Drosophila melanogaster: one gene and its partners. The protein of the gene in region 1 purifies or fractionates together with the protein of each later gene. This does not show direct contact. Each region holds a gene or a part of one and is shown on either strand. Other genes may lie near its edges.

Evidence for each region.
Region 2: the proteins of cos (region 1) and Sxl purify together in Drosophila melanogaster (affinity purification with western blotting; 2 studies listed by BioGRID). This does not show direct contact.
Region 3: the proteins of cos (region 1) and Pka-C1 purify together in Drosophila melanogaster (affinity purification with western blotting; 2 studies listed by BioGRID). This does not show direct contact.
Region 4: the proteins of cos (region 1) and Su(fu) purify together in Drosophila melanogaster (affinity purification with western blotting; 3 studies listed by BioGRID, with this or other methods). This does not show direct contact.

Annotation. Positions count from the first base shown.
Region 1 is NT_033778.4:7,380,267-7,389,947, reverse strand, and holds cos (costa), read left to right. Parts: upstream 1-2,832; 5' UTR 2,833-2,968; coding exon 2,969-3,620; intron 3,621-3,678; coding exon 3,679-4,390; intron 4,391-4,446; coding exon 4,447-4,865; intron 4,866-4,928; coding exon 4,929-6,751; 3' UTR 6,752-7,772; downstream 7,773-9,681. Other genes in the region: Dhx15 (DEAH-box helicase 15), read right to left, coding at 438-701, 767-1,240, 1,520-2,313, 2,368-2,420. UniProt on the Drosophila melanogaster protein: Regulates cubitus interruptus (ci) processing by recruiting multiple kinases to promote its efficient phosphorylation.
Region 2 is NC_004354.4:7,094,201-7,101,527, reverse strand, and holds the start of Sxl (Sex lethal), read left to right. Parts: upstream 1-3,474; 5' UTR 3,475-3,527; exon of another isoform or gene 3,528-3,583; intron 3,584-3,759; exon of another isoform or gene 3,760-3,904; intron 3,905-4,461; exon of another isoform or gene 4,462-4,530; intron 4,531-4,592; exon of another isoform or gene 4,593-4,713; intron 4,714-7,043; exon of another isoform or gene 7,044-7,327. Other genes in the region: CG4615 (uncharacterized protein), read left to right, coding at 1,006-1,254, 1,329-1,519, 1,582-1,801, 1,873-2,154. UniProt on the Drosophila melanogaster protein: Sex determination switch protein, which controls sexual development and dosage compensation in females. Sxl protein is only active in females: it is inactive in males throughout development.
Region 3 is NT_033779.5:9,693,419-9,702,264, forward strand, and holds the start of Pka-C1 (protein kinase, cAMP-dependent, catalytic subunit 1), read right to left. Parts: upstream 5,880-8,846; 5' UTR 5,697-5,879; exon of another isoform or gene 5,284-5,696; intron 5,014-5,283; 5' UTR 4,149-5,013; coding exon 3,087-4,148; 3' UTR 2,773-3,086; intron 1-2,772. Other genes in the region: hoip (hoi-polloi), read left to right, coding at 6,517-6,519, 6,582-6,962; pelo (pelota), read left to right, coding at 7,635-7,675, 7,735-8,456, 8,512-8,704. UniProt on the Drosophila melanogaster protein: Serine/threonine-protein kinase involved in memory formation. Promotes long-term memory by phosphorylating meng and by regulating CrebB protein stability and activity.
Region 4 is NT_033777.3:12,688,370-12,694,857, reverse strand, and holds Su(fu) (suppressor of fused), read left to right. Parts: upstream 1-3,389; 5' UTR 3,390-3,419; coding exon 3,420-4,826; 3' UTR 4,827-4,985; downstream 4,986-6,488. Other genes in the region: CG14391 (uncharacterized protein), read left to right, coding at 111-518; CG31347 (uncharacterized protein), read left to right, coding at 2,308-2,739; Arp1 (Actin-related protein 1), read right to left, coding at 885-1,028, 1,097-1,643, 1,703-1,854, 1,914-2,088, 2,151-2,215, 2,989-3,036.

The DNA of each region.
Region 1 (9,681 bases):
ATTTGTGAGTTGCAAGTGCGTTCGCGGAACATTAAAAGATAAAAACACTATTTATTCGGGCATATTTTGCACATCAATCCATTCAAATAATGGGCTTGGACTTTTAAACGCATGTGCAACTTTTCTTTTCGAGTTGAATGCAAAGAACAAATAAATTGAAAAACTTTTTCCTTTGCATTGTTGCTTAAGAAATTACATAAATCCCTTCAAGAATATAGAATATACTTCCCCGAAACCTCAGACTTTCAATTTATAACGTAGAAAGTATTCACGGCAGCCACTTTAACGGAAATAAATGAAAGTATGCATCGGCACAAATCGAAATTAGGTACAAGTCGTATTTACGTATTTGAAAAACGAAAAGTGACAGCCATGAAAGTATAAGTGCGACCCCCAACTTATCGAAGACAGTTTCTTAGATTTGTGTTTTATCTCACCCGACAACATGGCCGTTATGGAAAGTATTTCATTAGAGCAGTTATGTTGGCAGCTGGCAATCAGCATTTTGGCCAGCTGCGGATCCAATGGAAACTCGGACATAACGGCACCCAGGTCTGTAAGATTTCCGTCATCATCCAGGGCGGCCAGATAGTTGAGCAACTCCAGGGCACGCATCAAGGTCTCTGGAGCAGGGGGGTCCATAAAATCGAAATGCACCAGATCATCGATGCCCAACTTCTTGAGCTGCAGAACCACAGTGCCTGCTCAAAAATAAGAAACAAGATATTAGAAATCGAGTAATACTTCCAGGGGATCTAGGCATTACCCAAATTGGAGCGCAGAATTTCGGGGTAGGTGTTGTCCTGCATCTCGTTTTTAAACGCCTTTTCCGTGTACAGACGGAAACACTTGCCAGGACGCGTACGTCCAGCACGACCGGATCTCTGCTGCGCAGACGCTTTTGAAATGGGTGAGACGAGCAGACTCTCCACTCGAATGCGAGGATTGTACACCTTTTGCTTGGCGAAGCCTGGATCAATCACGAACACCACTCCGTCAATGGTCAGCGAGGTTTCGGCAATGTTGGTGGACACCACGACCTTGCGTCCAATTGCGCCATTAGCATTTGGCGGCGGGGCCGGTTCGAAGATGCGCTGCTGCAAATTGGGCGGCAGCGTCGAGTACAGGGGAATGCATTTCAGCTCTCCAATTTCTGAGCCCAAATTGTCGATCTCGCGCTTGATGCGCTTGCAAGCCTCCTCAATCTCCTCCTGGCCCGTGAGGAACATTAGGATATCACCTAGAGTAGCAAAATCAAGTTGGGGTTTAGTTTACAATGGAAAAAGCGAATGCGTCTTTTCCGGCATTGAATAGGATCATATTCAAAAGTCGTAAACACTTGAATGATTACAATACCATTAAAGCAAATACGAAGCATTTGCCGCCCTTCGGCACTCGGAAAGTTTATATTTTGCCTGGCACTTTTACATTGTAAACATATGATCGATAAATGCTTCTTAGAACAATGAACTAGCAAGCTATTAAATGAACTCCAAGCTAAACTCATTTACCAACTTACCCTCAATTTCCTCGCACATGTGTATCTGGATTACCGTGCGAATAGCAGCCTCTAGGTAATCTCTTTCTGGTTCGGGCGTGTAGAAGATCTCCACGGGATGTGTGCGACCGGGCACTTTCATGAGCGGTGCGTTGTCGAAATACTGCTGGAACTTGCCGGCGTCCAGTGTGGCGGACATGACCACCAGCTTAAGGTCGCTGCGCTGACGAATGACCTCCTTGAGCACGCCCATTAGAATGTCAGTGGCCAAGGTCCGCTCGTGAGCCTCGTCAAGCAGAATGACCTGGTACTGGTCCAGCATGGGATCAGACATGGCCTCGCGCAACAACATACCATCGGTCATGTACTTGAGCAGCGTCTTGGCCGTGGAGCAGTCCTCGAAACGGATGGAGTAGCCGACCTCTTCGCCCAGTTTTACGTCCATCTCCTCCGAAACGCGCTGGGCCACGGACATGGCGGCAACTCGACGTGGCTGTGTGCAGGAGACTCCCTTGCGCCCCTTGGATACTGCGAAGTCCACGCACCACTGCGGGATCTGGGTCGTCTTGCCGGAGCCAGTCTCGCCCACCAGCACAATACACTGGTGCAGGCTGAGCAGCCGCATAAAGTCCGCCTGGTACTCGAACACGGGCAGCGCAATGCGCTTCTTGTAGAGATTCTGGTACCGTTGTGAGTACGGCGTGTTGGTCAGCGGGTTCATCGTGGGCGGTTGCTTGTTGGGCACGAATCCGCCCAGGATTTGAGCCACTGTGCCGGCAGCGGCTGCCGCCGACGAGGAGGACGCCTCCGGGTCCCTGGTGAGAAAGGAGCGTTACATTACTGCCGTATGTTGGCCTCGGGTCACTTACTTCTTCGCCTTGCTGCCGTAGGTCTCCCCCACTTCGATTCGACGCTTGGACATGCTAATTTATGGTGATTACTGCACTTAATTCTCAAAACGAAGCGTTTAGCACAAAAAAAAACACGCGCTCAGTGAGACCTTTAGCATATACCGACCATGCTGATCGCAACTTTTAAAATACCAAAGTTTACTGTCTGTGTATACTATATAAGCCCATGGTTAGCGAAGATCACAACCAACAGCACGGCAGCAATTTGGCATTTAAAAAAAAACAGCAGTTCAAGCTTAAGTCTTTTGACGAGAATCTATCTATAGAATTCGGTTTTACTCACCAGTTTGAAGAATAGTTGTGAGCTCACAGTCTTAAAATTGACATTTGACAGCAATTTGATTGGAAACTGATTTTGATTTTTACAGTAACAAACTGTTACATGGATTCGGTATTTTCGGCTTGGGTTGGCGCTTTAGCGTCGGCCACACTATCACATTGTATCGATTCGGAGGGAGTTGAATTTTTGCACGTATTTGAAAGCGCAAAGATGCGAAACAAAGAGCAGGATATCGAATGAAAGAGCTCCTGCGAGACCAGGACTAGTTGCCTAACCACCATGGAAATACCCATTCAGGTAGCGGTGCGCATCTTCCCGCATAGAGAGCTCAAGGACTTGTTGAGGAGCTTCGGCCCCACAGAGCCCAAAAAGGATGCGCAGGCGGTGGATGAGGGGGCGGACTCCAAGGACTCCGAGGCTCAAGTTCCGGCGGCTGAGAAGGACAATCCGTCAATTTCAGAGACGGACCCAAACGGGAATGCTGAGCAGGACAGTGCGGCCGATTCGAAGACAATTCCAGATGCCAATGGCAACGACAGTGGTCAGAAGGATTACCCAGACTCCGCATATTGCGTTCAGGCTATTCCCATCAGCGCTTCGGCCCTGGGATTGCCCAGTGCCCTGCCAGGCGGAGATCCCATGGACAGCATTGCAGCTGGACTGATACAAGTCGGTCCCCACACGGTTCCGGTCACCCACGCCCTGCCCAGCAGCAGCTCCCAGGAGCAAGTGTACCACCAGACGGTCTTTCCGCTCATCACCCTGTTCCTGGAAGGTTTCGACGCATCTGTAGTCACCTATGGCCAGAGGGGCCAGGGCAAAAGCTACACACTCTACGGAAACGTCCAGGACCCTACTCTGACGGATTCCACCGAAGGAGTCGTCCAACTTTGTGTCCGTGACATTTTCTCACACATATCGTTGCACCCAGGTGAGTTTACTAAAAGGATCTTATAAGCATAGTTATCCATTTCCATTTTCACTTTAAGAACGCACCTATGCCATCAACGTGGGATTCGTGGAAATTTGCGGAGGTGATGTCTGCGACTTGTTGGGCATGGGAAACATACACTGCACCAACGTAGATGCCGTCTTCCACTGGTTGCAGGTGGGTCTGTCGGCCCGCCAATCGTTGCCGGCGCACACCCTGTTCACGCTTACCCTGGAGCAGCAGTGGGTGTCCAAGGAGGGGCTGTTGCAGCACCGCTTGTCCACGGCCAGTTTCTCGGATCTCTGCGGCACAGAGAGATGTGGAGACCAGCCACCGGGACGTCCTCTCGATGCTGGCCTGTGTATGCTGGAGCAGGTGATCAGTACTCTCACAGATCCAGGCCTCATGTACGGGGTTAATGGCAACATTCCGTACGGTCAGACCACGCTCACCACTCTCCTGAAGGACTCGTTCGGCGGACGGGCTCAGACGCTCGTGATCCTGTGCGTGTCACCGCTGGAAGAGCACTTGCCCGAAACTCTTGGCAACCTGCAGTTCGCCTTTAAGGTGCAGTGCGTACGTAATTTTGTAATTATGAACACCTACTCCGACGACAACACGATGATCGTTCAGCCGGCTGAGCCTGTTCCCGAATCCAATTCCTCTGCTGGACCCTTGTCGCAGGCGGGACCAGGGGACAACTTTGGCCTACAATTCGCAGCAAGCCAATGGTCCAAACTAGTTACCAACGCCGAGGGGCTATTTTCCAAGTAAGTGTACACATTATTTCCGATGTGGGCCTTTTGACGACAAAAGAAATTTATAGGCTGATAGACTCCAAGCTAATTACTGAAGTGGAGAAGGAGCAGATCGAGGAGTGGCTCTTCCTCAAGCAGGAGTGCGAGGAGTGTCTCAGCTCAACAGAGGCTATGCGTCAGCAAAAACAGTTGGTTCCCATTCTGGAGGCCGAGGAGCCCGAGGACGTGAATTCTGAAGCAGCCAATTCGGAGTCGCCAAACTCCGACAACGAAAACGACACAGACAATGAGTCGCATCGGCCCGATCTGGACGACAAGATAGAAAGTCTAATGGAAGAGTTTCGCGACAAAACAGACGCTCTTATACTTGAAAAACACGCTGAATATCTATCCAAGCATCCGAAGGCGGTTATGCAAAGCCAAGACCGCGAGATTGAGGCACAGCCGCCAGAAGAAAATGGTGATGATCGAAAAGTCAGCATTGGCAGTAAGTCTTTGCCTTGAATAACATTTTTTTATACAGTAACATGTTGATTCCTTGCTTTAATAGGTCGCAGGAGAAGTGTTCAGCCAGGTGCTAGCTTAAGTACTGCTGAGCTTGCCATGCTTAATCGGGTAGCTTCCCAGCAGCCGCCTCCGCCCATCGATCCTGAGTCGGTCGTCGATCCTCTGGAAAGTTCTTCGGGCGAAGGAATCCGTCAGGCGGCTCTCGCTGCCGCCGCCGCCACTGCTCCTATTGAACAGCTGCAGAAAAAATTGCGCAAACTGGTCGCTGAGATCGAGGGCAAGCAACGACAGTTACGGGAAATCGAAGAGACAATCCAGGTAAAACAAAATATAATCGCCGAATTGGTCAAGAACAGCGATACACGCAGCCATGCAAAGCAAAGATTTCACAAGAAACGTGCCAAACTTGAGGCCGAGTGCGACAAGGCCAAGAAGCAGTTAGGTAAGGCGCTAGTTCAAGGCCGGGATCAGTCGGAGATTGAGCGATGGACCACGATAATCGGACATCTCGAGCGTCGACTAGAAGACCTCAGCTCAATGAAGCATATTGCGGGTGAGAGCGGACAGAAGGTGAAGAAGCTACAGCAATCGGTGGGCGAGTCGCGAAAACAGGCCGATGATTTACAGAAAAAGCTTCGAAAGGAGTGCAAGCTGCGCTGCCAGATGGAGGCGGAGCTGGCCAAACTACGAGAATCCAGGGAGACTGGCAAAGAGCTAGTGAAGGCGCAAGGTTCTCCCGAGCAACAAGGCCGCCAGTTAAAGGCAGTACAGGCTAGGATTACGCACCTTAATCACATTTTACGCGAGAAGTCGGATAACCTGGAGGAGCAGCCGGGACCAGAACAGCAGGAGACCTTGCGTCATGAGATCCGCAACTTGCGCGGAACTCGTGACTTGTTGTTGGAAGAACGCTGTCATTTGGACCGCAAACTTAAGCGGGACAAGGTGCTGACGCAAAAGGAGGAGCGCAAGCTGCTCGAGTGCGATGAGGCCATCGAGGCCATAGATGCGGCCATAGAATTCAAGAACGAGATGATCACGGGCCACCGCTCCATCGACACGAGCGACCGAATTCAGCGGGAGAAGGGAGAACAGATGCTGATGGCACGCCTAAATCGTCTCTCAACGGAGGAGATGCGAACACTTCTGTACAAATACTTCACGAAGGTTATCGATTTGCGCGACTCTTCACGAAAGCTGGAGCTGCAGCTGGTGCAGTTGGAGCGTGAGCGGGATGCCTGGGAGTGGAAGGAGCGTGTTCTGTCCAATGCCGTGCGCCAGGCTAGACTGGAAGGCGAACGGAATGCGGTGCTGCTGCAGCGCCAGCACGAAATGAAACTCACTTTGATGCTGCGTCACATGGCGGAGGAAACGTCGGCCAGTTCGGCCAGCTACGGAGAACGAGCTTTGGCCCCTGCCTGTGTCGCCCCGCCGGTGCAGGCCAGTAGTGATTTCGACTACGATCATTTCTACAAAGGTGGCGGCAATCCAAGCAAGGCACTGATCAAAGCGCCAAAGCCGATGCCCACCGGCTCGGCGCTAGACAAATACAAGGACAAAGAGCAACGCAGCGGACGCAACATCTTTGCCAAGTTCCATGTGCTCACCAGATATGCGTCAGCTGCCGCAGCCGGTTCCTCAGGGTCCACGGCCGAGGAATCCACGGCCCTGATTGAGTCAACCACCACGGCCACGGCAACCACTACGTCGACAACCACCACTGGAGCCGTAGGAAAAGTGAAGGACAAGGCCCTGGTCAGCTTCAGGCCGGAGCAGCTGAAGCGTCTGATGCCAGCTCCGACGGCCACGAAAGTGACGCGTCAGAAGAACAAGATAATTATCCAGGACGCAAGTCGTCGAAACTAAATACGAATTTAACCATTTCCAGGACGATATTATAAGGTTAAGCCAAATAGCCATATACAATTAATAGCCATGAGCTGAAATCCAGCCACTTTAATAATTAAGGCGATAATATAAAAAAATGCTTAAAAATGTATAACAGATTACTCCCATATACATGCATACATTTTAATCAATAGTCCGACATATATACCAGCTTGAATTTATTAGTTTACTGCTTGTCGTTTAACTTATTAAAGTGGCTGGAGTTCGATATCTTTTTAAGTGTGAAGCAATAGCTCAGATCCTGGTAACAAGAACTGAACAAGTTTCGTCCACAGTCATGACACAAATAGACTACAACACATGGTTCTCATTCCGGCTCTTTAGCTGGGGAGCATTTATTTTAGAAACCCCCACACGTACATACACCTAGCATATGAAAGTAACTATCCTCATGAGATTCAACCGTAAAGACTTGACCTGCTACTTAAGATACTCGCAAGACAAACCGTACACAAAACTCGCTCAAAGTGTTGACCTAAGTCTCCGCATTGTTTAACTTGTACATAACAATAATTATTAGGTAACCACTTAATTTTAATTGATTTTGTTAGTTTTAGCTTAGTTGTAAACACTATTGTGTCTTCCCTCGAATTTTAATTGACCTTCGATACCAATTACAACATACGTACTCCATACCCAAGTGTTAACCTTTAATATTCTATCAAAAGCATTTACTCTGTACAACTTATAAATGCTTCAAATCGCAGTATTTGCGCTAATCCAATACTCATTTTGCATTAACTTAAAATTAAAATTCAATACTGTTTGGTTGTGTACAACGTATTTTTTATTGTCCATTGATATAGATGCAGTTTGCACTGTACTCCGAGTAACTTAAATTGATATTAATGTATGTATGTTCCCTCAATATCAGCGTGTGAAAAATTATAAACACATTTGTAAGCATACATATTCCGCCAAATCGCTCGGCATGGCTTTGTGTGGATATTGTTGGTTAAGCAAATAAATATATACAAACTAAACTAATCAATCAGTGTTTAATCAGTGTTTTATATTCAAAATAAAATAGTTATCGTCTTATAAAGATAATTAAGTTCTACATTTGCAGCTGAAATCCAAGCAAACACAGTCCACAAGGCAACAGGTGAGAAATGTCCCAGAAATTTCCCAAACAATCGCCCCTTCGGACACACACACACACAGAAAGCGCAAAGAGAGAGGATGAGAGGGAGAGAGAGAGAGCGCCGGTTTAAGCGTTGTATCTAAATCCGATGGCGAGTATCTGAGCATCCGATTCAGTCTTGTTTGGACCGTCGAGCGATCGAGAACCGGATTTCAGCGCTAGTCGGCGAATCGCGAGAGCGTGCGAGTATTTGTGTGTGCGTGTGAGCGTTTGTTTTGGGACACCGATACGGATACGGGTACGGATAGACGGATATACGGCAGCGGTACGCGATTAGCAATCCGCCAACCGGTTGCAGCGGTGCTAGTGCACCACCCTACAAAAAAGTGAATAATAGTATGCAAAGTATCTGAAAGATAGTCAAGAGCAGAGCAAAGTATCTGTGTTTGTGTGTGCCGTGCTTTTGTGCGGAGTCGCCACCCCCGTGGATTAGTGGCACCCTGCTGCAAATAGCCCACCACTCTCACAAGTGTGTGTGTGTGAGTGTTAACAATTAATCGCATTTAAAAAACAATTTGGCCAGCCGCAGTAACAATAACGGTAAGAAAAGTCGGCGGTACCGTTGGGAAATTTTCACCGTTGTCTGGCAACTTCTTTGTGCCCGTCGTGTATGTATAGGTTGGGTGCAGAAGTGTGCGTGAGTCCTGCCCACGCCCACCGAGTAGCGCTAGTCTGCGAAATCAACTGCAGGATGCTGTAGGTTGATATTTTATCGGTTAGATGATAATAGTCTTTGGTCTTCCTTATGATTTTTCGCCAGACGTTAAGTTTTTTCAATTTGGGAATGCAAAAACGGTTACTTTATGCACCGTATCACATCACACACACTTGCAAAAGGGTGTGAAAATGTACTGCCATGAGGGAGGAAATATGCATGTTCTACGACTCCCAAACAAGTTTCATACTAAATTTCCGAATGTCTTGTTTAGTACGTAGGGGAGTTTCTATATATTTCATGCTACTTTTTATTTATAAATCGAGTTTTAGAGGAAATAATTGCAGTCCCTGAATTTTCAGCGATTTTTTTTCGGCGCATGCGCCCTTGGAACCGCAGAAAAGCAACTCTGTGATTACCGTTGTATTCGCTTGTGCGTCCATTCGTGTGTGTCAGTCAGTGTGTGTGTGTGTGTGTGCAACCTGTGCCTCCTGCCGCCAGGTCCTTGGTCCTTTGTCGCCGTCAGGTAGTTTTCAGCTTTCCCTACTCAAAACGCTTCATTCTCAAGAACCTCTTAAAATTCTTCGCAGTTTCCATGTGGCACACATACGTCGCGATCCTTTCAGCGCACATGTGTGTGTGTGTGTGAGTCCTGATGTTAGTGTTGTTTCATCCCCTGCTTGTAAAATCACTGAAATCCCGTGCAGCTGCCTTCGTCCTTTCCTTGCTGGTGTGTCTGAAGTTTCCACTATTTGATTTTGCAAGTGTTGCACTACCCTCCTCCTCCGCTTCCTTCTGCGTCTGCTGGCGATATACTTTTTATTTTCCTGCTTCTTTTTCTGGTTTTTCGTCGGCTCGCCATCCTGTTGCTAGGCGGTTTTCCCCACCAGTTGGACCAGTGCCAATTTTCCATGTGACTCCCTGTTTTCAGAGCAATAAAATAGTCAGTGAATTACCTATACACCTATGAACTTGCAGTAATATTATTGAATAGTATTTTAGGCACTATTGATTTAATTTTTTTTAATTTCTGTTTACATTGATACTCCGCTTAATGTAAATTATTATACTTATTTTACAATAACTAAT
Region 2 (7,327 bases), on another chromosome or scaffold:
GGTGGGGGGTTTGTTCGTTATGCTTTTCAACCCCGTGACCTCCCACCGCGCCCAATGGGGCATACTTTTGGGGGCGCCGGGAACTGGGAGGTGTTTTAATTCCACCATCGTTGGTTTATTGAAAAGTTGTCATAACTCAGAACAGACAAGCCAGCAAAGTTTCGAGTCCTCTCAATTGCGGGCAAATACAGGCAGATCTTAAAACTATAATGTTTCATTAAATTCACGCCGTCATTGAATCGAATATCGTGTTTTCCCGTTGGTAACTATCTAGATATATGAACTAATTTAAAAGGAAAACTCAAGGTTTTTATGTAAAACGAACGCGTGGTTTTTCTAGCAGCTCATTTTCATTTCAATTGAACTTTAAGATGAGCTTAAAACTCGCCTTTCGCATTTCAAATACCAAATAATTGGTAAACATTGCCATTTACACAATCAATCATATTATAACTTCTTCGGGTAATGAGAATGAAAACCTTTTCTTTTGGATTGAAAGTGCAATCGGATTCCGAGAGACGCCATAATCATAATAGTGCGCCCGCGGATGGGCATATGTTCATTTGTACATACATACATCTCATCCGAATCGGACTTTGAGCCATGTTCTCGACACGCGAGATAAGCGGCCGGCAATCAGAGAACTGGTTTCAATTGCGGATCGGGTCAAAATCGCCCAACCTTGGGCCATTGTATGCAAGTTGTCTGTGCGAAACTCAATGAGCATAAATTAGTCTCAATGCAGGAATGCCTCAAGTGTCCGGCCGCTCGTCCATTTCCATTGTCCAACCATTATTGCAGCTGGCCAAGCGCTGGCTTATCACTCGAGGCGAGGCCCAAAAGGCGAAGATAGAGACGAATGATAATCAATTGGCCATAAAACGGGTGAAGTGTGGATGGTGTTTGGGTTAGCCGGGTTAGTCGTCGTCTGTCTAATCGAGTGGCAATCAATCAATTTGGCAAATCGGACAACCAATTCACAATCTAATCCACAGTCTATCCACGATGAGCAACAGCGAAGGAAGCGGCCACGAAAGTGGAATCCGTACACTGAATCGCAATGCGAATGGAAACGGCAATGGAGACCTCAGTCTGATGCAGGATCTGCAGCATAAGTACGCCTTCCTCGAGAATCTCTTCAGCAAGTTCTGGAAGTCTATCATCAAGTCGAATTCCAATCTCAAACTGCAGTTGCGCAATGTCAAGTGGAAGAATGCCAAGGCGAAGCCCGGCTGTGCCTACCAGCCAACGGAGGTGAGTTCTATACATTGTATGTGTACAGTACACCTGACGCCTAAACCACATTTACTCTATCCAAAAAAAAACAGATCGAGCAGGTGGCCAATGTGATTACTCACGGCATTTGGATACTGCCCGCCGTTTTTGCGGCCATCAAGCTGTTTGAACGCTCCTCCAGCGCCAGCCAGTATCTGGTTGCTTGGGTCTACGGCGGAGCCCTGTGCATGCTCTTCACGGTGTCCACCTTCTTCCACTGCTCCTGCTATTGCGCCGAGCACAAGTGAGTGCGCACACAGGCTGATTTAACCATTTGATTTGTACATTTTTGTATACCTCCACTAGACCACCGAAGAATGTCAAGGCCTGGCCCTGTCTCGGCTGGCAGACGTATCAGGGGCTCAAGAACGTGCTCCATCGCTGCGACAGGGCGATGATCTATGTGTTCATCGCCGGATCGTACTTCCCCTGGCTCACGCTAGAGAACACCGATCATTCGGCCATACTCTTCTGCATGGAATGGGTCATCTGGCTGATGGCGGGCATAGGAATTGCCTACCAGCAGGTGGGTTCATTTACAGCACCCGTGTTCACATGCTCCTTAAGGTGAAATTTCCTTTTGTTTGGCGAAAACAGGTCTTCCACGAGCGCTACAAGTGTCTGGAGACGTTCTTCTATCTGGTGATGGGCCTGGGACCCGCTCTAGTCGTTGTGTTCACTGGCCACCACTTCCACGGTATGATGCAGCTCAAGTTCGGCGGCGGCTTCTACATTCTGGGCATTGTATTCTTCAAGGCGGACGGCACGATACCCATGGCCCATGCCATTTGGCATCTGTTTGTGGTGCTGGCCGCCGGATGTCACTATTACGCCATCCTGGTGAATCTATATCCAAGCGAGGGAGCCGCAGCACCGTGAACAAACGAGCGCCACAAAGCAGTTGTGGTAACATGCAGCGAATTTAGAACTTAGAGTACTTAACGACAGGGATTCGATGTTGTCAGCCATGTGTAACGTATTCCTATGATATACCCGATGTACCCGAGTCTCTGCTCCACAATTAGCCAAATTTTAAGCGAGCGAGGACGCCTAGCTTGTAGTCTAGTTGTAGCATTACGAACTAACTAAATCGAAACGATTCTTGTGATCAGTATGTGCGGTCTTGCCAAAGATTCAAATTGTGCGAGTGCTCATCTCTCCCTCTCCCTCTCAACTTTAACTTGATATTATTAGCGATATTCATATATTTAGTATCCATAACGACCCGTTTTGGCCATGTGTTTCTCAAAAGACTTTGAACCGTACTCAAAAGGCAAAGGACACGAATATTAAACTTGTACAAATATCCGAGAGTTAACGACCTGAACCTTTTGAACACTAGAAGCCCGCCTATCCCGCATTGCATTATGCATGTTTATACAGATTATACAGATATATTATATACCCATATATACCCATATACACAAGTAGATAGAATTAAGAGGCCATCCGATCCGCGAGTCCAGCCCCTTCGGCCAGTTTCATCGCCGAGCTCAGGGACAAATCGATGTGTTCGCAGATACTGAAGAAGGTGACTATTTACAAATACGCTTGATATCTTGATATTTTCGGGGCCTGGCTCGCGATCGGCGGATATAGCTTTCGTGTACTACTCGTATTTATGGTGCAGATCGATTAGTTTTAATGGCTCTAATAAATTGTATATTTCCAAATGAAAGCAAAGGGCTCAGATGTTTGTTGCGTGCTCAAATATAATTGTTCGTTTTACAATGTTATGCATGTATCTTGTTTAGCTTATTCATACATCTTGTTTAGCTTTAAATATATGAATATACATATATTCTTTTTTTGGTTGCAAATATATATATATTATTTTATTGAAAATTTTTTTTTGTTTGTGTAGAATTCTAAATATTTAAATGAACGAAATCTAACGGGGCTCAAAAGACATAAAATTGTATCTAATTTTAATTCGTTATTTTCTTTTCTTTAAATGAAAATTTCAAGCTTGATTTGAATTCCCATATTTGAATTTTATGTGACCGTTACGAATCAAGCGAAGGTGTGAAACTTGGCTAAATGGGTTCGTGTATTCGCTAAATGGAGTGAGTCTTAACTAACGCGGTGTAGAAAATGAACAGTGTGACCAGCCGAGTGCCTAGAAAAATAACGAAAACGCGTTTAGCCACCGTAAAGCCACCCAAATAGCTTAAATTGACCGACAACCGCGAAACGTGCACACTGCTTTGTTGTTGCCGAAGAAGGAAAGTCGCGCAGTGAATTTTTTTCTGGTAATTTTTCTTTGCTCCTCCTGACACTCGCCACGTAAATCAAACACACGATCCAAGTGAATAAGTTAAAACGTTTTAAAAATCATGACAAAGAAGCTGTTTTGTGTGCCCCATGCAATCCGTGTAGCTACAGAATAAGTGTGTGAGAAGAAATAAATCCCCATCGAAAAAACAATACACACACAGACACTGCAGCATGTACATATATATGCATATAGATATATATATATACATACATGCACAGGGTTTCTAGCGTGACGTGAAGTGTATATAACGAAGCGAAATTAAAAGAACACGCAAAAAGAGAAAAGTGGAGAGGAAACGATAGTGGAAAACACGCAGACATTGTGAAAATGCGCATAGATCATATCGCAATTGTAGTAGTACAATTACAAAAAAACCAAGCATTTTTGGAGTTTTTCTTTTCTTTTTTCAAGTTATACATGTTATTTTTTTTGCTGTTGGCCTCAAATACATACATATGTACATCTGAATAGAGCGAGTAAAGAGCAGTATACAGATACTCGCTGTTTTTTGTTTCTTATTTTTTGCTGTATACGGTTTTTTGTGAAGTTATTGAGCTGAAAGAAGAGTGCAAAAGCGATTGACGAGCCGAAAACATGTTGTAAAATTCCATTCAGCATTTCCCACCACTACCAACAACAGCAAAGCAAAAGCAAAGCCGTTTTTGCTCGCTCTCCCACTCCTTCTCTCTCTCTCTCCCGTCCACTCGTTGTTACTTCATGTACTAATTTTTTTTTCTGTGCTTGCGGCTTCGTCATTCGCATGTATATACATATGTGTGTGTTGCGCCTACGTGAGAGAGCGTGCGAGTGTGTATATGCCCGCAAACGCATAAACACACGCGCACACACTTGCAAGGCGATTCACGCGCCTGGCTTACACTTTGTTTTTTCTTTTTTTTTTCGTTTCCGTTACAGTTGTGTAGTACATAGCAACATGCAAGCATCGCCCAAAAATCATATGCACATACACATAAACAGTAAGTTGTACATAAAAACAGCAGCGTGTGTGTGAGTGCTTAATTCTTTTTTTCCATTTTAGTCTCTAACTAAATAATAATAACTAAGCCGCTGGGTAAGTGGTTTTGTTCGTATACAAACAGCTTTTTGGGGCAAAGAAACAACAAGAGAAACCCAAGGGCAGTAAGAACATATAACGAAAGGTAGGCGAAAAAGACAACAACACACATGCATACAGTCGCGTCCAGTTGTGAAGGGCCGAAAATTCTGGAATAGATTTCGCTTTACCTGAGTGTTTATCGCGTGTCCCTTTTTCACTTCCTTTAGTTCCGCTGCAAATCGACTACCTACATTTACGCATATCCTGTATACATATTACTTCCTGTTTCACCAACTATGCCACCATGTGTTTCTTGCTGCGCATAAATTGGAGTATTTTGTGATTGCTTTTAATAAGTAGATATGTACCTATTTTTTGGTGGTCGACTGTGGCGACCGCCCTACGTCGACGGCATTGCCAGCTGTTATCATCGAAGGCAACGTGTTTTGGCGTACACTTCACTTACACATGTGTCCCTGGTTAAGATATGACATATTTTGGAGTTTCCCAGAGCTTCTGCAATTAAAATAATTGTAATTTCTTCGTTGAGTGTTTATATAGCTTTAGTTGGCGAAACATTATTTTAAAGATCCTCATTAGCGACACGCGCCTTTCGGTTTATGGCCCTCCCTTTTCCATTGAAGATCAGGGATCCTGGATATTTCCAGGCAGGTAGTGAGCGCAAGGGAAGATGTTCGCTTCGCCCTCCGTTGTTGTCTCTATCGTACGCTCAGCTGCCGTATTTTTTGTTTTTCAAGTTGCAGCTGGCTGGTGGGAGAGGAGTGGAGTGGTGAGGAGAGGGCAGCTGCATTTATTTCCTTTTCTCTTCATCTCCGCTTCTCGGTGGGTCATTCCCCTTCTTGCTGTTGGCAATGACGTCGCATCGCAACGATCGTTCCCTTCGCTTAAAGCGTATTGGAAATATTGGAAATGGCGGTAGCTAGTACTACCCCCACCTCCACCAACACTCTTAATTCACATTTCTGCATTCCATTGAGGTCATTCCCTTGCGCAAATTGCACGTTACACAATTCCCATGAGCGTTGCACCCCGTTTTAAACCTTATTTGGTCTTCAGTTAATAAAAGCTTCCCAACAGTGGTCTCTAGATAATGCAACTACTTAGCGTCGTTATTTAAGAGTATATTTTGTAGCGTTGAATGTTCTTATTTCGATGTTTTTATGGCAGATAATACTGAGTTAAATGAAGTTGAATACGTCCTTGAAAGTATATATGTTTCGGTTCCGCAATGTCAAGTGTTCACTGTACTTTTTAAGCTCGCTCAATGTTTTAAAAAGCATACATGCATACATATGTACATACATGCGCATTTGGATACACTTGAAATAACAACAGTATAATAACAATCCAAGCGGACGATCAGCTGGAATGTTCGATGGATCGTTGATTGTGTCTGGCAATGCCGCTGTGATTTTGTTTCCAGACCGAGATCCATTCATGCATGCGGGTACATGACTCATTTTCCCAGCTGAGCGATTGTTAGATGCACAGATGTGTACATGCATCTTCTATATGTATATATGTATACATTAGCTCATGTACTTAAATGGGCTTTTATCAGCTGTTTAGAACACACATTCACTCAAGCACTGCATAATAGTGCTGCTCTATTTACACAACTGTGCTCCAAATTAGCAGACTACTGTTATCAAACTGTAAAGTTTTTCTCGCATTTTGTTATTGCTTTACAATTCGCTGGCGCTTTCTCCATCTCTTTCCCTCGTACACTGCCGAAAAATGTCTGCTAAATGGTGTCAATGAAATCAATGAAAGCCTGCATTGTTTTTTTTTTATTATTGTTATGTAATATTTTTTTCTGTTGTGTATCATTGCAATATTATTTGCTGCTTTGAATTATTAAACAGCTAAAAAAGTCATATATATTAACATTTTATCGTAATATTTAGAAATAATTTTGAACTATTTGTTTTCAATTTTTTAATATGATACATTGGATATATTATTACCACGCATTGTGATATGCATTTTCCCCAAAAGTTTTGTCCGTGATGGACTTTCTTTTATTTTGGTTTTTGATTTCATGGTGATTTAGCTTTCACCCATCTGCATATGGAAAGTCTATGGGTCTTTGGTACTCTATTACTTATGTTTGAATTTTCTTTCATTTCTGGGCTCTCCCATTTTCGGAATGACCGACCTTCTGGTTACCCTTTTGTATTTTCCCCCCACCTTTTTGCTTTTTCCGTATTCACAGCTTGTGACGCTTTTCGTTTCTCTATTTCCGCATTTTCCGTTTTCACGCTGGAAAGCGAGGTACACACTCTGTTTTATATATTTCTGTACATATTTTCATTTTCCTTCCCCTGGGCTTCTTTCTTTTTTTTCGGCATTTGCTGTATATTGTGTACATGGGAAAAGAGCAGCCCTCGAATTTGATGACCGTACCACCCCATTCCAGCCGGCTTTTATTCTGGTTTTTGTGTTTCTGAGCGACCCAATGCGATTTAGGCCGCCCCACCCACTTGGCCGCCGCCCCCCTTTGCGCCTTCGTTTGGCTGCCCTCGTTTTCTCTGGCTCCTCTTCTTCCCCCTTCTCCGCTGCTCGCATCTCTTTTCGCAGCTTCGTATTTTCCATTTTGATTGTTCTCTGTTTGCCAAAAGTTTTGGTTCCTCATTCGCTTCCTTGGAAGGAAGCCCAGCTCTTGCTCTTATTTTTGGCTGGGGGATCCCAAAGTG
Region 3 (8,846 bases), on another chromosome or scaffold:
TACTTGGCCGCAGTTGCAGCGCGTGCGTGCTGGCTAAAAAGCTCGATTTTGAGGGCACTGTTACAAGGCTGCCCGGCCTGGTCGTTATGTCTGAGATCTACCGCCCCCGTTCCGCCACGCCCCCGAGCGAACCTCCCCCTGTTAGCCCGAAATTGGCCAGACAACGTCTCAGATTCACAAGCGCGTTGGCAGTTGCATTCTGTGTTGTTTGGCTGACTGCTAAACTTGGCTTGGTCTAGGTGTTTATTGGAGCACAACGAATGCGTGTTGAATCCATGTTGCTTGATATCTGAGTGCTTGTGCCGCGACTTCTGAGAACAAGTTTGCTCAGCGACATCCAGCTGGGAGCTGAACTTTGGCTCTTAGCTTGCTCCAAATTAGAAGAGTGCCAGAAACGAGGGAAGTACTAACAGTACAATCAAGTTATTCAACTATGAGACTTTTAGCTTAGCTCTTTATTCACTTATATATCAAACAAATGTAAAATAAAGCGGAAATATATAATTATTAAAATTAAATGGTATAAAATTCACTGGAGCAGCAGAGCAGCATTAACTCGTTGCCAAAGAAAGAGTTTAATTGGCTTATCAGGGGAAATCGAATACTAGGGCGTGCCTCCCAATCACCCCACTCCCACCCAGCTGGTTTCTTCGCGTGATAACGCTTCCTCCACCGCCTTTGCATTGATAAGCAATCAGTAAAGCCGTCGAGTTAATGTAAATAAGTAAACCTAATGCCCGACACTTAGTACCCATGACTACGGGTCTAATTGACTTGGCCCAAAACCAAATGATTGATGGCCTTCTCAGGCAGCAAGCGACAGAAACAACCGAATGTTTATACATACATTTATACACATAATTGGTGCCAATAAAACTGTAGACAACACATGTCGCATGGAAATGCTTATATATGTACATCAGGGAATCGAAGGAGAAACCAAAAAAAAAAAAACCAATGTTCGGATGGACAACTCTTTTGGGGCTAGGCCAAAGGTCGAACAAGGTCACGGCCAACGATTACCGCATGAACATTGGCGTGAATATTTCGGATTTTTCCCCTTTGATCTGCAGTCAAGCTTTTCTCCCAGAATTAACAACTCTTGATTGCGTTTCTGTTTTTAGTTTTTCGCATTTCCCCACAATTTCTAAACTTTATGCGGCATTCGCACGCAGCTCTTGCTTTTGTTTTGCTCATGATGTTTGGACATAAAACTTATTATAATTTATTAATTACCAGCAGCGTTTGGCTTTGATAAAAGAAACACAATTTCGGTAATGGCCAACGGGCACGCAATCTAGCTGCTAGCTCTTTGTAGCTCCGCAAAGAAACGAGAAATAATTCATAAAATAAAAGATATACTTCTTTTACTGCCTTTTGCTTTGACATTATTCATGGCTTTCTCTCCCCTTTTTGTTGGCCTTTCAAATGGGTCAAGTGTGAATGACTATATTTCTGTGTGGAAATTGTGGGAGTCCCAGGAAATTAAAATGGAAAAGCATTTTGGTATTTAATTAAAGAAGATGTATCACAGAATGATTCGAAATATAAGTTAAATGGCTTTTTACTTTACTTCTGCTAAAGTGTAACTGAATACATTCCAGTTGAATTCAAATAATTATAGCTAGAAAGTTTCATGATTTACAACCCACCACCAACTTTTGTGTAAATTTACTTTAAGCACCGAGAATTCCTTTGAACGTAATTGGCTTGCATTGTTACTATCAGCTGTCTAGTTTGTCTGTTGTGGAGATTAGACCCGTCTGAACTATGCCCGGCTGCTACAGTTAACGTTTACGACCGCATTCTGACGCTTATTGCAATTAATGATTCGATGTTTACGGGTATAACTGCCCCGGGGGTCTGGCTGCAAATAAGTGAGTAAGTGGTCATGCTCGAATATCTTTTTGAGAAAACATCACGTAGGTTTTGGGTGCCGCAGGGTAACCATCCGCGTATCGCAATAAGCCAAGTCACCGACGGAAACTAATTAAAAGAATTCCGTGTACTGTCCCGGGCAGAACAATTGACGGACGAGCTGAAATGCCTTTTGTCTCATAATCAACTTTCTGGCACTCACTCACTTGCTCTCCCTAAAACAAGCAAAAACATTCCGCTGAAAGCAATCAATCAATCAAGCCACTCAAGTCCATCAATCTCCAGCTAAAGTCAAAACAAAAACAAACCTGCAATACCCTTGCCCTGAATACCCTTCGCTTTCGCCAGTGAATCGTTACCAAAGAAAGTAGGGAATACAGTCAATAGATTAATATCCCGTACAGCAAATATGGTGAGAAATAGAAATAGCCTTCTGTGTGCATTTGCAGATTGATATATGGCATAATAAATTAGGAACTCGCCTTTTCCCGTATATCTCTGTAAGTCAATAGTAATTCCTCTTCATAAACCATTCTAAAGGTAGGCAGTAGAACAATTATAATATGCACTTTCTAAATAAAATAAAGTATATAGTAATAGCCTAATGTTTATATTGTGGTTATTTACTAAAAATCTCAAGTCGTGTTATCAGTATGATTAGGCGTGAATAAGAATGTTGTTATTAGTAATAAATAAAGTGAATGAATTATGAAGTAAACAAATTTTGAAACCTAGACCTACGGTTCGGAATGTGAAATTGTATTTGTTTTTCTTTGCTGAGTAAACCAACTGAGTTTTCTAGGCTTGACTAAATTTCGCTGTTCAAAGGGTTCTAACTCACAATATATTTTTCAAAACCCTCAACATTTTTAAATTCAATTATTATATACTTACGCTGATGTAAATTGTTGTGTGTGGTGAGAAATCCAATGTTGGCAATAGTATGGATGTGGAGTATATACGGATAGATATTCAGACGAAGATGTGGCTGTAGTTTTTGTGTTGTGGGAGGGGCTGTTACAGTTGTTGTAGTTGTAAGTAGTAGACATATAGACAAGACGACGACAACGACGATGAGGACGTGGTCCGCGATGCCACGGCGGTGGCAACAGCAGGAGCAGTTGCAGATACAATCGCAGTAGCGGATACAATTGCAGTTGCAGGCGCCTGCAGAACGAGGGGATTGGGCTGACTGGCGAAGAGCTCCTCTAGAATTCAGCAAACTCCTTGGCACACTTCTCGGTGCTGGAGATCCGCAGCGCCTCCTCCTCGTAGTCATCGAAATTGCTCGTGTCGCCGGGACCCTTACACCGCGGAATGAACGGCGCCTCGATTTTCTTTTGGAAGATCGCAATCCAGTCGGTGGAGGCGAACCACTTCTGGTTCTTAATATCATTGACGCCCGCCTTCAGATTGCCGTAGCGCTTGGTCAGATCCACCTGCAGCAGGTTGCGCAGTAGGTCCTTCAGATCGGAGCCAAAGTGCGATGGGAAGCGCACCTTGCCGGAGACGATCTTCTCGTAGATCTGAATCGGCTGATCCGCAAAGAACGGCGGATAGCCGGCGGCCATTTCGTAGACGAGTACGCCCAACGCCCACCAGTCCACGGCCTTGTTATAGCCCTTGGACAGAATGATCTCCGGGGCCAGGTATTCGGGCGTGCCGCACAGTGTCCAGGTGCGTCCCTTGACCCGCTTGGCAAAACCGAAGTCCGTCACCTTGAGGTAGCCCTGCGAGTCAATCAGCAGATTCTCCGGCTTCAGATCACGGTAGATGAGGTCCAAGTAGTGCAGGTACTCGAAGGCCAGCACGATTTGCGCCGCGTAGAAGCGCGAGTGCGGCTCCGAGAAGCGGCCCACCTTGCGCAGGTGGGAGAACATCTCGCCACCGGGAACATACTCCAGCACCATGTAAAGGTTGGAGTTGTCCTTGAAGTGGTAGCGCAGCGAGACGAGGAAGGGGAACTGAATGGCCTGCAGGATTCGCTTCTCGTTCAGCGTGTGCTCCACCTGCTTCAGCTTGACCACCTTCTGCTTGTCGAGGATCTTCATGGCATAATAGTCTTTCGTGGGCTTGTGCTGGACGATCATGACACGGCCAAAGGAGCCGGTGCCCAGGGTCTTGATCCGTTCGAAGTCATCGAGGGCGGCGGTGTTGGTCGGATTGCGTCGCCACTTGTCCTCGAACTCCTCCTTGGCCTGCTCGAGGAACTCCTTCACCGTCTCGGCGGCATCGACCTTCTTATTCGACGTGGTGGCGTTGTTGCCCATCTTGGAGATGGTGCCCGTTAGCGATGACAAACGGAAGGTTGCGCTGGCCGACACTTGGGCCTGATCGTCGCCGGAGGTGCTAGGTCCTCCTCCCCCTCCTCCTGTTCCTCCGCTGGCTCCTCCTGAATCCGCCCCTGAACCGGGCGTGGTCGTGGCGGCAGGGGGCGTGCTCTTGTGGGCGGCGGCTGCTGACGAGGGGCCGCTGCTGCTGCTGCTAGCCTGGTCCGCTGGAGGTCCCGCTGCCGCTCCCGCTCCTCCCGCTGCCGCTCCGCCCTCCTCCTCGCAACTGGACTGCGCCTGTAGCTTGCCCTCGCCGGATGTGGAACTATGATGGGACTTTTTCTTTTTGAGGAACTGCAAAATGGACTTAGCTATTTTGCCGAGTTACGGGTCAACGGTGCGGATGAAATAGTTGCTCCTTATGGGCCAAAGAGAGCTTCTCACTGGAGCTCTCTCACTCTCTTATTCGCTGAATATCCTTTTAAATTGGTGTTTAGGTTGCGTTTTAAAGGCGCTTGGTTAAGACGCGTTTAAGTTATGGTTTTAGCACGTATTGGTTTCTTTAATTTGTGAGGTCTTAAACTAGTTATACACTTTAGGCTTAGACTAACATTTGGTTTCACACTTTAAGGTTGCTTATGATCGCGATTTACTCTAATTTGAGAAGCTGCAAAGAGAGACGGGAGAGAAAACGGCACAAATTAGCGGGATATTCGGTAAGGGGCTAAAAATAAGAGTCCAGTTTTCCGAGTTCTTTATGCACACATATAGATTATATTTTAAGTTTCTTATGTATTTTCGCTCTTTCGCATTTTTCACTTCATATTGTTTTTGTTCTCAGCGCTTTGCTGGCACTTTTATGGAGCTTAATAAAAAGCTGGTTATAATCACTGAATAAATAAGCTTAACAAAATCGCACACAAACTCGAAATTCAGAAAATAATAAAAAGAAGAGAACAGAGGAATGGCAAAGAGAGCGAGAGGAGGCGACTTTCGATCGTGTCAAGTGTCAAACAGCTGATGCCGTAGTGCCAGCTCACTCCCACTCACGCACTGTTACGCAGTGCTGCTTCCTTTTCCTCGCGCATTCCCTCTCATTTTCGCCTATTTTAATTATTAAATACTTTTTTGGCACCGTTTTGCTTTGGCTTCTGTTTTTTCATTTCCTTTGCTTTTGCTTCTTTGCGTTCACTGGTGTGCGTGTGTGTATGTGTGCGAGTTGATGTGCATATGTATGCGCTTCTGGTTTTACTTCTGCGATCTCTCTTCAGCGCTCTCTTCGCAGGCACTTTTCCACATTTCGCACACTTTAAATTAGTTAAATTGGCCTTTATTGCTCGGTGTGCTAAATTTTCGCCATTCGATTTGGGCATAAAAAAATCCCGTGGTTTAAACAAACACTATCGTACACGCATACACACTCAGCGCTCACCTAACACACACACACCAACATACACATACACAGATTGAATAATCGATTTTTTACATTCATTTCCTTTTTCTGAGTTTGTTTGACTTTGCTTTTCCATTTTCGCTGCGCGAAATTACCTTTTTGAAATTTACGACTACGATGCCAGCGATTTGTAAACACTTTCAGAAATATTGCCTCGACTTTCCGATCGATTTGATGCACTGTAGCTGTGGATTGATGGCTTAGATTAAAAATACCCGCATAGCCGCCGAACCGAGTTTTCCCGACCAAATCGTTCAAAGTTTTTTTTTCGACTGACGCGACTCGCGGATGCGCCCCAGCACGCAGGTGTGAGTAGGCCAGCGATAGGCAGCTCGCTCAGCGTGAACCGTGCGGCGCAATCATGAGTAATCCCTACTGCGCGGGTTCTATTCCGTCTGAAAATCTAAATGATCGGAAATAGCTAGCGGTTATCCAAAATTTTAATAAATAATTATAATAATATATAATTCGTAAGCTGTAAGGATTATTTTATTGTTATGTTTAAAGAGTTCTAAGCTGCATGAAAGATATAATTTTTAATAAAAATAGAGCACTTGTTTAATGAAACGTTGTATTATGAAGTAAGTTTAGATTCGATTTTACGAAATATTTTTAAATGGATTTCCTTTTTTATTTTATGAAATTCTATTTGGGAATTCCCTTAAATTATCAAAAGTATATTTAAGCTAGGGCTGCAGAGAACACAATTTCCGTTACGATTAGTATTGCCTAGATGGCAGTATGACCAGTCTTATTTGGTATTTCCGAACCACCTGCGAACGGTTTTCTAACGCTAACGCACGTGTTTGAAAGCGATTTCAATTGTTCTGCAATTGCCCTCAGTGAAGCAGCAAGCGGAGAGGTTGCATTTTAAAGCACTTTTTTCCAGTAAAAGTATACAATAAACAAGCCAATATGGTGAGTGCATCCACGTTAGCATCGAGAGATGTAAATTTCAACAAGTATCCCAATCTTTGCAGACTGAGGAAGTTAATCCCAAGGCATTCCCGCTGGCCGATGCCCAGCTTACCGCCAAGATCATGAACTTGCTGCAGCAAGCATTGAACTACAATCAACTGCGCAAGGGAGCCAACGAGGCCACCAAGACCCTCAATCGCGGACTGGCCGATATTGTGGTGCTGGCCGGTGATGCGGAGCCCATCGAGATTCTGCTCCATTTGCCGCTCCTGTGCGAGGACAAGAACGTGCCCTACGTCTTCGTTCGTTCCAAGCAGGCCTTGGGGCGTGCGTGCGGAGTTTCCCGGCCAATAGTCGCCTGCTCTGTGACCACCAACGAGGGCAGCCAGCTCAAGTCGCAGATCACCTCCATTCAGCAGGAGATCGAGCGACTGCTAGTCTAGTAACCCTTTAGATTTAAGTGAACATTCGTACAAAGTGGTAATTTCAAATTGAAATTTTGAATAAACATGTGTATTCTTTAATGCAATTGTTGTTTCCAACGCACATGGTTGGCTTGGAGTGCCCAATTTTTGGACACCGGATACCAATGCCGAAAAATACCAGAAAATACTAAACCAAAGGGGTCAGCTGGTATAGCCGGCAAAGTGCTGGCAAATAAATAAGCTAGTTTAATATAAGCTTATTTCATATAAATTATTGAACCAGACCAAAATGTACATGTGCATGTAGAATATTTATTTATAACTATAAGTTATTTATTCATAGAAATAGAAAAAAATCTGAATGGTAGCTTATGCAAACTACTTTAAGAAAGCCAATCCTGGCGGCAAAATAGCCAGTCGCACATCACCGTTCGCCCCTGGTGAATGTCACTTGGCCGCCGATTCTACTGACCACCACCATTGCCACACCATCCTGCCGATTCGATCAGCGGTGTGAACTTAGCAACTGCGTGAACCCAATGACAACGATGCACCGCCGCCTTTGTGAACGGAGGGAATTACTGGAATCTGGGTGCAAGTGACAAGCGGCTAGAGGAATCAAAGCACTCGGTATAAAGGCAGTGCCTGCCGACGAAACAAATACCAAATCCTGACCAGCAACGAGACGGGATGAAGCTGCTGGGCAAATACGTGGACAAGGGCATGCAGGGGTGAGTGAATATCCCCAGAGTCTTAAACTATTTTCGTTATGCCTCGAAAATTCTTTTAGAAATGTGACCCTGGTGCCGGAGGAGTCCGAGGATATGTGGCACGCCTACAATTTGATTGCGAAAGGCGACAGCGTGCGCAGCACCACTATTCGCAAGGTGCAGAATGAAACGGCTACTGGCTCCTCCACCAGCAGCCGGGTGCGCACCACACTAACCATCGCAGTGGAGAGCATAGATTTTGATACGCAGGCTTGTGTGCTCCGCCTTAAAGGCAGAAACATCGAGGAGAACCAGTATGTCAAGATGGGCGCCTATCACACCCTCGACCTGGAGCTGAATCGCAAGTTCGAGCTGCGTAAGCCGGAATGGGACACAATTGCCTTAGAGCGCATCGAAATGGCCTGCGATCCCACACAGTCTGCGGATGTAGCCGCCGTTGTGATGCAGGAGGGATTAGCACACGTCTGCCTGATCACCGCCAGTATGACCCTGGTGCGGAGCAAGATTGAGGTCTCCATACCGCGCAAGCGCAAGGGCAGTGTCCAGCAACACGAGAAGGGACTGGCCAAGTTCTACGAGCAGGTTATGCAGAGCATCCTGCGGCACGTCAACTTCGATGTGGTCAAGTGTGTGTTGATTGCGTCGCCGGGATTCGTGCGCGATCAGTTCTATGACTACATGTTCCAGCAGGCGGTCAAAATGGATTACAAGCTGCTGCTGGACAACAAGAGCAAGTTTATGCTGGTGCACGCATCCTCGGGATTTAAGCACTCCTTAAGAGGTGAGCCATTTACCCTTATGAAGAGATATGTTCTAAGTCAAATTCTTGCCTTCAGAAATTCTACAGGATCCCGCCGTGCTGGCCAAGATGTCTGACACCAAGGCAGCTGGCGAGGTCAAGGCCCTGGAACAATTCTACATGATGCTGCAATGTGAGCCCGCCAAGGCCTTCTATGGAAAGAAACATGTCCTCCAAGCCGCCGAGTCGCAGGCCATCGAAACGCTGCTGATCTCGGACAACCTCTTTAGGTGAGTTACACTTGGTTGAGCCAACGTATATATCTATGTATATTGAAGTAATTACTAGCTGGGCACACATTAAGCCCAATCAAGCGGGAGATCAAGAGCACGATCGCGAGTATAACTAGAAACCTTCAACTTGGCAAAATTG
Region 4 (6,488 bases), on another chromosome or scaffold:
CAGTGAGCTGAGTCTCTCACAACAGTACAATTTACACACAGCTTTAGTTAGGAGTTTTAAAAAAGAAATTTAAATATATTTCGTTGAAAGATTTATAAAAAAAAAGAACCATGGAATTTGCCATACCAGAGGCTCAGTACTGGGACGTTTCGAAGAAATCCCAAAAAGATCGTCAGATGATTCGTAAATTCGTGCCCGAGGCGGTCGACCTGGCCACCATAAGTCGTGCAGAGATCTACAGGATTGACACATTCTATTTGGAGTGCCAAAAGTACCGGGATCACTATCGTGACCCCTACGGCAAGGTCCACTGTCCGGCATTCTTCCACCTGCACAAGGGCAAGTGCGGAATCAAGCTGGACCAGAGCGTCATCAAGATGACGCAGGCGATTGCCGCAACTGTGGACCGGCAGCCCATAGTTTTTCCCCTGATTCCGAACAAGAGCATGTTTTTGGGTGGTAGCATTCCCATGGGGTCACAAACATCCCAAGTTGGCGTCACTAGCTATCTCAGATGAAGAAAGTACAATTTTTTTGATAGCTAATGTATCCGCGGTAGTGTAAAAAATCTTTCGAGCAATAAGATATTACTATCTGTTAGGTACATCCAAATATACAATAGCTTGTTGAAATTTCTTGGTTTATTGTTTAAGAGTTAACCTGGGAAGGAATTATCCGCAAGTGAATTATAAATTTTAGTACTTTATTTTCTAGGCTGGGAAAGCAGTTTCAATAAATAGCATTTTAAATACTTTGCGCCCTTGATGCGTAAAACATACACATTTTACTTTTCAATTTATAGGGTACTTCATGTTAGCTGACACAAGGATTTGATATACATTTTAATTAGCCTTTTACAAATGGCGTTTAAGCTTATAAACAGGCTAAAAAGTCTTTCTGTGCACGGCTTTCTGTCCCTCCTCCTCGTATTCCCGCTTCGAGATCCACATCTTCTTGAAAGTATCGAGCGAGGCTAAAATCGATCCGCCCATCCATGTGGAGTACAGACGTTCCTGCGGCGCAGCGATCTGTTAACATAAATTCGTGAGTTTCAGAACTCATGGCACAGAACTATACAATTGTTAGAAATAATTACCCTGATCTTGAGATCCTTAGCCGAGTGTTTCTTCAGTTCGGACAACAGACGGTCGCCGAATCCTTTGAAGAGCGTTGATCCGCCGGACAGCACGATGTTCTGGTAGAGCATTTTCCTGAGATCCATATCTGACTTCTCGATGGAGTACATCAGAACGTCGTGAATGCCCTCACATTCCTCGCCCAGCAGATCGGGCCGGAAGAGCACCTCCGGCGCCCTGAAGCGTGCAGGTCCAATCTCAAAGATCTTGCCGTCGGGCAGCTTGTAGGCAAACTTCTCGGTTTCCACGGTCTCCTCCTTCTGCGGATTGGTGGCCAGATAGCAGACCTTCTCCTTGATGGAGCGCACAATCTCAAATTCGGCAGTCGACCGGAAGTTAAAGCCCTCCCGGCGGATGAGTGTCTTCAGGTAGCGCGTCACATCGCGCCCGGCGATGTCCACGCGCATAATACTGTGAGGCATGGCGAATCCCTCGTAGATAGGAACCGCATGCGTCACACCGTCGCCGGAGTCGAGCACTACGCCAGTCACACGACCGGTGGCGTAGCTGCAAGAGTGTGGTTAAATGAAATCGATAGGGGCAGTTCGTGAGATTGCAATGCTTACAGACTGAGCACCGCCTGCATGGACACAAAGAGCGCAGGTGCATTGATGCCTTCAAAGAAGAACTCGGCTGCCTTTTCGCGGTTTCGGCGCGGATTAAGCGGGGCCTCGGTCAGCAGCACGGGATGATCCTCCGTGAAGGTGGCCAGTTGTTCCTGGTCAATGCCATTTAAAACATTTAGTTAAGATTATGGAACATTTATGGACAAATTACTTTGCTGTAAATGTAGCTCCATATCCGCTCCATGTCATTCCAGTCGGTGACAATGCCGTGCTCCATGGGGTACCGGATGCTAAGCAGGCCACGGTGCTCCTCCGCCTTGGGTCCAACGAATATGTCGCCCTCCAGCGCACCAGCCATCACTCGGACATGCTTGGGCCGGCCAATGCTGCAGGAGAAGGCATTAGTTCTAGGGGTTCTTAAGGTTCGTGAGTGGTCCACGGCACTTACTAATTGGGAAACCTGCATTTTGGAATGTGCTCACCAGCAAAGCCGGCTTTGATCACACCGGAGCCCTGTCAAAAGTGATGTGGAATACATTTAGTTAGTTGCGTCAGCTTATTTTATTTAAAATTCAACGTGCAAACAGGAAATCTATATAGTCAACATGGAATCCTTTAGTGTGCCGGAAGTGGACATGATGACCGTGTCAAAGAATTCGCAATACGAACGGGAATCGCTACTAAAGTTCGCACCGCCAGTTGGACTGACCAACATCAGCTACGGCAGCTTGTACAAGGTGGACTCCTTCTATTTGGAGTGCCAGAAGTACCGAGATCAATTCCGCGATCCCTACAACAAGCTGCTGCGCCCCAAGATGTTCAGCACATACAGGGGCAAGTGTGGTGTGAAGATAGATCCCGAACTGGAGCGCTTAAAGCGACCCGCTGCCTCCCATGTGGAGTCTATTCCCGTGGTTTACCCAATGGAGTACGGGCACCAAATGGACTTCGACAGAGGCTTCCAGATGCAGGGACGCAACAGCAGGGATGCAGCCACCGCCCGCAGATATCCGTGTGTGCGTGTGCTGGGCAGATAAAGGGATTCCACGCAAGCTTTATAGACCAAATTCCCCGTTTTCGCTGTCTTCACTTCCGAATTGAACCATCTCTGGCGTTTGCGGAGCTATTCTCTCTGGGATTAGTCATGTTGGCCATTTGAAGACGGCTTGAAAGCTCGTTGACAAAGGGACGGGCGGTAGGTGATGTCACTGTTTGCTGGCTAAAACTTTGGGAACCCTAGATTTGCACAAAGCTACCCGCATTTAATGAGCCCCATCTCCACTTACGTTATCTATGACGACGGGCTGGTTGACGACGACATCATAAGGCTCCATTTTGTGCGTTTATCAAAATTTGCAAATTTTCTATTAAATAGTTGGTCAACAGGGTGACCGTAGGTGGTTGGCAGAAATAAACAGCATGTAAAAATATACCACGGCAAGAAATACTCAATATTTTACATGGTGGTGGTTTAAAGCTATATGGATATATATTTTCACTGTTTTTCTCTACATTTTAAAAATAAGCAGAAAAAAGTAAGAAAGTAATAATTATTATAAAAAAGGTTTTAAAAATAAATAATGGTTTTAAAAGAAACTCATGTAAGTTTCCATTGTCAAATCCGCACTTTACATGGCAGTATTTTTATTCATGGTATATTCAAGCGGTGGTATTCCGCAACGTTCCAACTGAGGTCATACTGATCAAACTGGATGAAATGGCCGAGGCGAATTTGGACAAAAAACCTGAGGTGAAGCCTCCGCCGGGCCTTAAGGCCATCATAGACCACCTCGGGCAGGTGTACCCCAACCAGCCGAACCCGCTGCAGGTGACCACACTGCTCAAGTACTGGCTGGGCGGTCAGGATCCGTTGGACTACATTAGCATGTACAACTATCCCGGAGATGTGGATAGGAACGTTCCGCCGCACTGGCACTACATTAGTTTCGGACTCAGCGACCTACACGGGGACGAGCGAGTCCACTTGCGCGAGGAGGGCGTCACTCGGTCTGGCATGGGGTTCGAGTTGACCTTTCGCTTGGCCAAAACAGAAATAGAGCTAAAGCAGCAGATTGAGAACCCGGAAAAGCCCCAAAGACCGCCCACCTGGCCGGCGAACCTGTTGCAGGCCATCGGACGCTATTGTTTTCAAACAGGCAACGGGTTGTGCTTCGGAGACAACATCCCGTGGCGCAAGAGTCTGGATGGCAGTACCACTTCCAAGCTACAGAACCTGCTCGTCGCCCAGGACCCGCAGTTGGGCTGCATCGACACTCCCACGGGCACGGTGGACTTCTGCCAGATCGTCGGCGTCTTTGACGACGAACTTGAGCAGGCATCGCGTTGGAACGGGCGCGGTGTGCTCAACTTCCTTCGCCAAGATATGCAAACTGGCGGTGATTGGCTGGTGACTAACATGGATCGCCAGATGAGCGTCTTCGAACTGTTTCCCGAAACGCTGCTAAACCTACAGGACGATCTGGAGAAGCAGGGTTCCGATCTGGCCGGCGTTAATGCAGATTTTACGTTCCGTGAGCTGAAACCTACCAAGGAGGTGAAGGAGGAGGTGGATTTCCAGGCGCTGAGCGAGAAGTGCGCCAACGACGAAAACAATCGGCAGCTGACGGATACGCAAATGAAACGCGAGGAACCAAGCTTTCCACAATCCATGTCGATGAGCAGCAATTCGCTGCACAAGTCCTGTCCCCTGGACTTTCAAGCGCAGGCACCAAACTGCATTTCACTGGACGGTATTGAGATTACCCTCGCACCTGGTGTGGCCAAGTACCTCCTACTGGCCATCAAGGATCGCATCCGACATGGGCGCCACTTCACCTTCAAGGCTCAGCATCTGGCGCTCACTTTGGTGGCGGAATCCGTCACCGGCTCGGCGGTGACAGTGAACGAACCGTACGGCGTGCTGGGCTACTGGATTCAGGTCCTGATTCCCGATGAACTGGTGCCGCGCCTGATGGAAGACTTCCGCAGCGCGGGCCTAGACGAGAAATGCGAGCCCAAGGAGCGACTGGAGCTCGAGTGGCCCGACAAGAATCTGAAGCTGATCATCGACCAGCCGGAACCTGTGCTGCCCATGTCGCTCGACGCTGCTCCTCTGAAAATGTGATGGTGTCCATTGGTTAGCTAGTAGTTATTTAAATTAATCGAATTGAATCTTCCACTAACGAGTAAGTTTTACATTTATACATCTCATCTAACACAATGCACGTGGCCTTTGCTCCTCGCCGGAGTCCAGTCAAAATATACAAACACATACATATACCCGAAACCACTCGACGGGCCTTTGATCGCAATATGAAAAGAGGAAGCGCCGGCGCCAGGAGCGGCGAACAATTCGCCGGATGAGTCAAGTTGGGGTCAGGCTATTGAGCACTGGAACAGTTCGCTTTGGTGGCTGCGGCGGATATGGCCACTTGCAGGCGGTGGAAGTCATCGCCACCGACTAACCACCAATTGATGGTATTGCGCAGTGGACCGCCGAATGCTTCAGTTTCTAATTCTGGGAATTGATCAATTAGAAGAGCATTCAATTTGAACACAAAATCCCGCCCGGGATCATGTGATTGCGCGAGGAACTGGACCTGGAGCAGCTGCATCATCAGCCTGGCTGATGGGAAACCCTTGACGCATCGCTTGTCTGAGCGTTGCCTAGGTGAATTTTTGTTTACCGCAGAGAACAGTTGCTCTGCTTCTCCGATTAGGCGCCCCTCATCAAGTGAGCGAGCGATTTTTCGCAAAAACAGCTCGTGGAAAATAATTCAGTTTTCTTCATTCCGCCGCCGACGACGCAAGCGTTCGGTTGTGTGCTCGCTCGAGAGGTCTCCACCCGACCACTGATTCCCGCGATTCTCGAGTCGGCTTCATCTGATTCCCAGAGTCTTCAAGTGAATCGCACGTCTGCCTGCAGCGACTGGAGTTCCGGCTTACAAGTACGTAGAGGAGCGGACTTGAAGTTCGTCCAAACGCCGGCGATTACATAAGGGCCAACCCATCGACCGGTGGATGACCTTCGGTTTAGGCAGTGACCCCCCTTGGGATTGAGCTGGGTGTCGAGCGAGCACGTGCATGGCGTTGATAGCGCGAACTTCGGTGATAGCCGCCAAGAACGACAGTGGTTTTAGTTGTATTTCTTTATTTTTACTACAATTCCGTCGAGCGGTTCGCATTACATTGAGTTTTCGCTGTGGCGGCGATGCGGTTTTTTCGGCTGCCCCGCGGCGGGAAAAAGAAACGTTTGCAGAACGGAACGCTGCAATGAACCGTCAACCATAGACAGTAGACCCACCTCGAGCTACCGCGCCCCGAACCCCTCAAGTGCACTCGACAAGGGCATGCATAATCGAAAAATGCGACGAATTTCAGTTATCGCTTGTAATGCAATCTGTGTTCTGCGCAGCTTTAAAAGTGCATTACAATGTTGCTGACCAGATACTAAGCAGGGAAATTGGAGGCGGAATCGAAAGTTATGTGGCCATGATATCTTTGGATATTAATTTGAACCAGTTTTTTTTATGGTTCCTCGTTAACTGAGCTTTGCAATTTAATCCAATTTAAACTTTTCGTTGGCTAAATAAGTGACTAACATGCTAAAGAACAGAAGGGTAACTTATTTAAAGATACAATTTATGTTATTTGAAATATTCAAAAGTAAAAGGCATCCCTTATATCTTTATACCTTTATAGCAATTCCCTCAGCTTATCTCCAGTCGAAACTGAGATCTTCCCTAGTAACTCTCCCTTAAGATCTAGCCTTTGTTGCTCATTTAGT